2 linked regions of the Bombyx mori genome follow. The protein of the gene in region 1 interacts with the protein of each later gene in a pairwise test. Links are inferred from orthologs where the notes say so. Each region holds a gene or a part of one and is shown on either strand. Other genes may lie near its edges. The genes, in order: actin nucleation-promoting factor WASL and formin-binding protein 1-like.

What was found.
Region 2: the proteins of actin nucleation-promoting factor WASL (region 1) and formin-binding protein 1-like interact in a two-hybrid assay, tested with the Drosophila melanogaster proteins (3 studies listed by BioGRID, with this or other methods). The link is inferred for Bombyx mori from reciprocal best matches to the Drosophila melanogaster genes WASp and Cip4.

What each region holds. Positions count from the first base shown.
Region 1 is NC_085121.1:15,494,805-15,499,274, reverse strand, and holds the start of actin nucleation-promoting factor WASL, read right to left. Parts: upstream 3,031-4,470; 5' UTR 2,712-3,030; coding exon 2,625-2,711; intron 332-2,624; coding exon 104-331; intron 1-103.
Region 2 is NC_085121.1:6,519,952-6,523,785, reverse strand, and holds part of formin-binding protein 1-like, read right to left. Parts: intron 3,527-3,834; coding exon 3,370-3,526; intron 2,249-3,369; coding exon 2,111-2,248; intron 528-2,110; coding exon 321-527; intron 1-320.

The sequences.
Region 1 (4,470 bases):
TACACCAGATGTTGCTTTAGGCCAAGACAACTTCATTATTATTATTATATGTACTATAAATACAATATTACATTATTTACTTTCAACATAGTTTTAAGCTTACCTCAGCTTCGAAAGTGTGTAAATAAGGCCTTGGGTTCTTATATTCTATCTGCATATAAACTTCGTGCTCCCATATCATTGCTTTTCGGTACAAACAGTAAATCCTGAAGAAGTATGAGCGCTTGCCATTGTCCTTTATAAGGCACAGTACACCAGTATCTCTCTTCTTCCATTCAGAATGTGCTGGACCTTCAGTTGTGAAGAGTTGAACAACTGTAGTTGCTAGACTCTGAAAACATTTTAAATTTTTAAATTATGTGTTGCTTGTGATGACTATGAAAGAGAGGGTCTTTCATCAGGCAAGTTTATTTTCCAGACAGCGGCCCGCAACATATGTCTAAATCAGAAAATAGTTTTGAATATAAATACTATTTTTTGGATACTACAATTCTTTGTCAAAATATAGGTATATTTTTTGGGCAATTCTCGGAAAGTATGTAGGCTTACTGGTGGTAGGACCTCTTGTGAGTCCGCGCGGGTGGGTGCCACCGCCCTGCCTATTTCTGCCGTGAAGCAGTAATGCGTTTCGGTTTGAAGGGTGGGGCAGCCACTGTAACTATACTGAGACCTTAGAACTTATATCTCAAGGTGGGTGGCGCATTTACGTTGTGGATGTCTATGGGCTCCAGTAACCACTTAACACCAGGTGGGCTGTGAGCTCGTCTACCCATCTAAGCAATAAATAAAAAATTGATGATGTGATTCAAATTTTCATTACAAATGCAAATCCTAAATCTGCCTAAAGCTCCCAAAGGGTATCTGATTTCACCAAATGACAGATTATTGTCACTATAGTATCTAGGCATATATGTAAATGGGTATTCTAAGATATTTTTAAGAATAAAAATCTTTATTTCAGTCGCAGATAAAATCCAATGCCGCTGAGGCTTCAATTTTGTTTTTAAAGGTAACAGAAACAAGATTATGGTATATATGTTGCTCCAAGAACTATGTATCGTACCACATTTAGATAATAATAGATAATAGATTTTATATTGAATAACACAATTTTTAGATAATATAATGATTAGAAAAATCTAAAAAGATAATATATAGATAATATATAGACTTTAGATAATATATTGAATAACACAATTCTTTTCTGAATCATTGAGTCAGTGAGTCATAATTATATTGAATCACATAAAAATATGCAAATCAGATACTAGTAATGAGGTGGGAAATATATTTTTATTGATAGTGGCTAACAACAGAGCTGACCCCGTATATTATTGATACAAGTAGTATATGAAGACCCATAGAACAGATGATAATATGGAGGGGTCCAAATGATTTGTGAATTTTTTATGTTTAATGATTTTTCATATATTTCAATAATTTGAAATCGTAGTGGTTTTCTTGTACAATATGGTACAAGATTATTATATTCATGGTTGTACTTGACCATTGTTTAATAAGAGATAAGTTGCGCTTTGAAATTTGTTGACTGATGATTTAATACTTGAAATTGTATAGATAATATTTATACAGACACTCCCAACAAACAATCTTTTTTATATTGGATTTATTAAATTTCTAAACTATAATCCACTACAGTAACATGTGTATGTATATTATGAATATATTGTATAATAGACAAGACATGCAAAACCAGTTGTCGTAATAAATACTTTACTGAGATCTGATATAGTAACAGACTTTCACTGTATGTCTTTATGGGGTGAAATTTCTATCATATGCAGGCTTTGAACACTTTCACGACATGACTGGTCGAAATGCAATTACACTTTTTCTGACTTGTTAAGATGTACTTTTAACTCTTTTTTGATTAGTGTTTTTTTTTTATAATTTAAACTGGGCAGCTAAGAGCACACATGATGTGGAATTATCAGTTTATAGAACTCTCAATATCAACCATAATTGTTTTGCCCCAAATTTTTCACATTAGAAATAGACAGGGACAGTTTCCACTGTTCAGAGGTTCACAAATAGTAAATATACTTTTTATATTATTTGAATTTCGTTTAGATTCTATTACTTTTATTTATTTCAGTGTCTTTCATGATTGTGTGAGAATAGTTTAATTTCAAAAAATTCCCTATCTGTGGGTTTTGAAACCCAATATGTGAGTTAATAATCATTTAGAATTTACGTTAGTTGAATATATAGTTTGTTGTACACAGAAAATATAAAAAAAATATAAAAATTCATTGTTGAAATTTGTATTGACAGTAATTTAATTCCTAAACATTGCTTGGGCCTGAAATGTCAAGCATTGTAGTCGGTCGGTTAAGTTCCGAGGGTTTATCAAAAGCCTTTTATACTATTAAAAAATTAAAAAGATTTGTAATTTTCATTAGATTTAAAACAAGACATTTAACGTTACAAGGAACAAGATAATATCTTAATCAATCATCCAGGCGATAGAATAGGACGCAAACAACTCTATCGTTTAGATAGCATAAGATAATACATTGATAGGGCTATAGATACGTAATCAAGGTGGACTGATTCAACGCGAGCTACTTTCATGAAGGATCTAAAAAGGATGATTAACTCACCTGACATTTTGGTCCTATTAGGCTGAACACCTGTTCGTTCTCCTCGCGTGACAGGAGATTTGTCGTTCTGTGCTCTCCCCTCGGCATCTTGCTTGCCTAACGTAGATATCACACATAAAATCACTATAAACACATGAAAACTGATGTGTCAGCTACAAAAACTCTTCTGCATTTTAATGTTGTTTTGTTCGTTTTATCTAGCCGCTGTTTTTACTGGGCCCATGTAAACATTTCTCATAAAATGGAAACATTCATCTCGAAAACTAAAAGTTCTTAGGAAACCGTTCTGATTTTGCAAATCTTCACTTTCTCCCTCTGTGAGCGTATTAACTTACTGTGCTGTTTGATCTGATTCAATGTGTATAGTGTATAGCATAGATTATACACTTAAGTGTATAGTCTATGGATTTTATTGTGCTCTCGAATATATTAAGTGTATAATCTATGGTGCTCACAGACTATATGCTACGTGTCGAGTTGCCAAGCATTCGCAAATTTGTTTTTATTTACCTACTATGTACACGAACAAAAAATTCCTTAGTGACATCTGTCTCTACACCCCTGATTTTACTTATTTCTTTCCTCCATAACTCAGGGTTAAAAACCGGTTCGTGCATATAAAATTTATTAGCCGATATCTGCGGCATCGGTGACTTGGTCAAGGAAATGTCAATATTTTTTTCTAGTGACACCTAATATTTAATAACGGTGCTAATGCACCAATGGTAACAATGCTAATAACCGCTTAGCATCTGTGAAAGTACCTAATTATAGAAAATTAAGAAAGTACTGTGGCTATTCAAAGTTTTCTAAGAAGTTCACTGAAGTATTAATAACTTCCGAGCATTTTTCTGGAACTTATTCCTTTGAACACGTCTCGTTTCAATCCATTTCATCACAGTAGATTAGGAGGTAAATCAATTTCATTTTTATGTACTACCTATTATTACAATGTGTCAATACACCAGTGAAACTTATGTGGGGTAAAATATGGGAATTTTTAGCGATAAATCACTATCCCAATTTTCTCTTGGCACCTCTATACTAGAATGACAGCCATTTTGTTTTTTTTTTACTTCGCAGTATGGAGGGTAGAGGCACCTCTACTTCGCAACTCAGGCGCCTACAATGATTTAATCATTGCAACATCTACATAATTTATTACTATATAGGTCTATGAATTTATGTGTACTATCTATGATCGATATAGACATATTAGGAATATGGAGGGTAGAGGTAAGGAGAACCGTCTCTGTGTGTGAAAAAGTGTCCGTTAAAACTGACTAAATAAGGGTGGCGCTACAGTAGCAACCGGGTAAATTTTAAAAAAGGCCCTGAAAGTTATTAGAATAAGATAGAGAAATAAAAAAGGACGAAAGACCTGTAAGCACTACAAAATCACAAAAAGTATATTATTTAAAGCTGATAAGAAAATGCAATCGATGTCTCCACCTTTTACCACAGCAATAATTTTAGGTTATATTGACGAAATTAGTTTGGACTACGTAAACTTGTGTATTACACTGTCACTAACTACAAATATATTAAATTTCCTAACTCAGCATACTTCAATCAGTTAAAAACTGCTCAATTCATATCATACCCTGTGCCTATGCTAGCGCCATTCTGGAGGATTTTTGAACTGTTAGTTATTGCTGAAAGTGCGACACTTTTTCAAGCTTCTTCCATATGAGACGGTTCTCCTTACCTCTACCCTCCATAATTAGGAAGACGAAAGAGGTGTCATTTGAAAGCTAACGATGTAGACAATAAATTTTTTCGCAAGTTAAAAAGTATGTATTAATAAAATAAAAATTTAATAATGTTTTATTGCATTTTTTTTTTT
Region 2 (3,834 bases), about 9.0 Mb from region 1:
ATTATTTTACATTAAACATGTGACAGAATTTATGACCTGACTAGGTATAAACCATAATTCAGGGAATGGTTGCATTAATACCGAAATTAAATCATCTGAAAACAATGTCGATTATTTTAATTCAATGCTGTTATTATATTTTCGGCTCGTTCCAAGCCATTTTTTTTTATTGCTTACATGGGTGGACGAGCTCACAGCCCACCTGGTATTAAGTGGTTAATGGAGCCCATAGACATCTACGACGTAAATGTGCCACCCAAAGTATTCCGGGACCATGCACGCTCCAATAAATAATCTTCCACTCCACTCTATAGCCTCACCTTATTCGAACTGAATATGGAGAGTAGACCGCCGCGTTTCTTTAGCTTGTTCCCGGAGACGGTCCCCCGGGACGCCGTCAGGTGGTTGTGCGGCTGGTGATGGGTCGACGCCGAGTCTGTTGTGTCTGCCCCGGAAGCCAACTCGAACTGGAAATCTTCGGGCGGAACGAAACCAGACTTGTACCTGTCTATAACTAATTTTGTGTCCTGGAAACGAAGAGAGTAACTTTAACCGTTAAACCTATTTTTCTTTTTTTTATTGCTTAGATGGGTGCACGAGCTCACCGCCTACCTTGTGTTAAGTGGTCACTGGAGCCCATAGACAACTACAACGTAAATGCGCCACCCACCTTGAGATATAAGTTCTAAGGCCTCAAGTATAGTTACAACGGCTGCCCCACCCTTCAAACCGAAACGCATTACTGCTTCACGGCAGAAATAGGCGGGGTGGTGATACCTACCCGCGCGGACTGACAAGAGGTCCTACAACCATCACTATAACTATCTGTTTATATATATATATGTAAATGAATTTCTGTTCGTTAGTCTCGCTAAAATTTGAGAACGGCTGGACCAATTTGGCTAATTTGGGTCTCAAATTATTTGTGAAAGTCCAGAGAAGGTTTAAAAGGTAGATAAATATGAAAATGCTCGGAATTAAATAAAAATAACAATTTTGTTTTCCCTTTGATGTGTCCCCCGTCGGACGGATTCCTTTTATTTGTTTTAAGTTTATTTTATGCAAAAGTTTAGGTCTTTTATTCATCGATTGAGGCACTACGAAGTCTGCCGGGTCAGCTAGTTTATTATAATTATTATTTTTCCCTACCTAAGCTAGTGCTAGCCTTGAAAGGCTATGCCAGCGTAACCTAACAAGTTAATTAATGACACACTTGCTGAGGCTATAATATAAAAATAATTTTAAAAAACGAGTCGTACGCCATCTATTGGACGTTAATGGAACTAAGCCTTTTTTCATACCTATTCTAGTAACCTCGAGGGGTTATACTAGATTCACCGAACTTGTAGGTGAGCTCACAAGCTCTAACCTGACGAATTTGCCAACACGAGCCCTAGCAAGAGCAGTGCTTCACAGAATCTACCGCTGGATCGTAAACGCGACCCCCTGAGAAGATCCGGCGGGAAACTCAGTGGGCTTTGGCAAAGAGTTAATTTCGTCGTATTCGACGAAGGATTTGGCGAGAACGGTAACCGGTGCTTGGTGTACCTAAAAGCACTGATAGTGGATCGAGAGGATCCGGAATTACGTGTGTTAGGCGACGGCGACTGTTAACCTTTTGGTTCGCAGGAGCGGGTGTAGCGGCTAAGCCCTAAAGTGGTGATAACTGTACCAAAAGTTGTGCCACAACCAAATCAGTAGTACAGATGCATTGTTAATATTTATATTTTAATTATAAAGCATTTACCGTGTTGCAACCAACGGCATGAATCTTCCTGATCATATCACCGCAAGTGTGATATCAACAGGAAAATTCAAAACTCAAAACTCGTTATTGTTGTAAATACGGATTGTTATTTTATTACAAATATTATACAATATATTTAACATAAAAATATTTTTAGATTGTAAAAAAAAAAGATATTTAAGAAACAAATCGCTTAGTAACCCACCACGTCCGGTTTGAAGAATGCGAAAAGTGAATGGCTTTGAATAAAATATGTTAATAAAATTCACAGTACATAAATATATATAATTTCACTAAAACTAGTTTAAAACTTTTCATAAGAGTTGTGTTATTATAATTTAATATATATTTTTTTTAAATTACCTCTTTTTCATTAATACTATTTGCGGCCAGTTCCATCCCGTCAAAGCACTGAATGATGATCGGAAAAACTTTCCTTTCGACATCCACTGAACTTAACATAAAGTTCTTAATATTCTTTATTCGTTTCTCGTCCAAGTCCTGTTGCGAAGGAAATGAATATAGAATAAACAACAACAAAAAAACAAATTCTACCTACGACGAAAAAATAAATTTATTGGGCAACTTCCATAAATTCGGGCGTTGTAAAACACATCAATGTTTTTTTTTTCATTTTTATTTTTTAAATTTGTTGAATTTCGACATTTCCGAAAGCAGGTTACGTCACATATCACAATTATAGGCATTTTAAAATCGTATCTGTCTACCCGACCTAGTTGGCGTTCGGCCAGAGTGCACACTAAATAACGATGCATTCTGGAGAATGTAAGCGTAGCCACCGTCGATTATTTACATAAAATAACCGAATTTGGCTAGGATTTCATTCAATAATGTAATTTATCAATAATGTAAAAATTTATTGTATCCCAATTTCAAACAGTTCGTAAATGTAACAAAATGTATGTAGTTGTCTGTGAACCGGAGATACACAGGTTTAATTTCGTCAGATAGGACACGAAGCGATAGCTCATAATATTTATACACATTAAAGTATTTATGTTCTCTCTAAAAAAAATTCTCGCGACACGTTAAAAAGTTGTGTGAACTAGTGCAAAAACATCATCATCTGAATTTCTGAGATATCATTTCACCTTATGCATATTAATGTCGAAGAGACTGATGCGCGACATTGATACTATAATGTTATTTATGCTCACGTGCAAACGAAACTTCGTGAACAATTTTTTCAAATGTTTTTTTCATATGGACTTAAATAATTTAAGGCGGAAACTTTATGTTAGCATAATGAACTTTGAAATGGTCACGGATCTTCAATAAAATAACGATCAAATTAAATAGGCACATAAGAATATTTTAACATATTCAAATGTAATATAAATCGCATATATAATGTAAAATAAAGCACTCTCGGTTCATCTGCTCTGACTGAAGGCATCGCGACATGTTTTCTCATAAAGATACGGAAAAGTATTTAAGCTTTTAAATGTATATATATAACATGAGAGCCCGTTAATAGCAATTTAATACAAAAAAGAAGAAAATCGGATGACAAACGGAAGGGAAAAACGTAATAAAACGTTGTATCTTCGCCTATATACATAAAAATTAATGCACAAAATGAAGGCTTGCATTACACGTACTTGCAACTGTTTGAACACGTGCGGTAATCTCTGCTCGTAGTGTTGCCTCTGGGCTTCGTTCGTTTTGCGAAGCTGTTCTAGGTACTCCTGTTTCGCATCTTCGCACGCCTGACTCCTGAGTTTCATGTTCGCTTTTTGCTTCTCCAACTCTGCCCGACTGGAAACAAGTTTATTGATCCTGTCAAATCGCTAGTCGTAGGACGTGTTCTGCCGTGAAGCACTAATAAATGCGTTTCAGTTTCAAGATTGGGGCAGTCGTTGTACTATTATTAAATTGTGACTTCGAAGTCGTTGTTAACATCTAATGGCTACATTAACCACTTAACACCAGGGGGATATGAGGTCGTTCAGTAATAAAAAAAATGCGGAATATGCATTTGTAAAGAGCATCAAATTGCAGAATCCACGTCCAATCTATCCAGAATCAAAGTTACTACAACGGCTGCTTCCTCAAATGGGAACGAG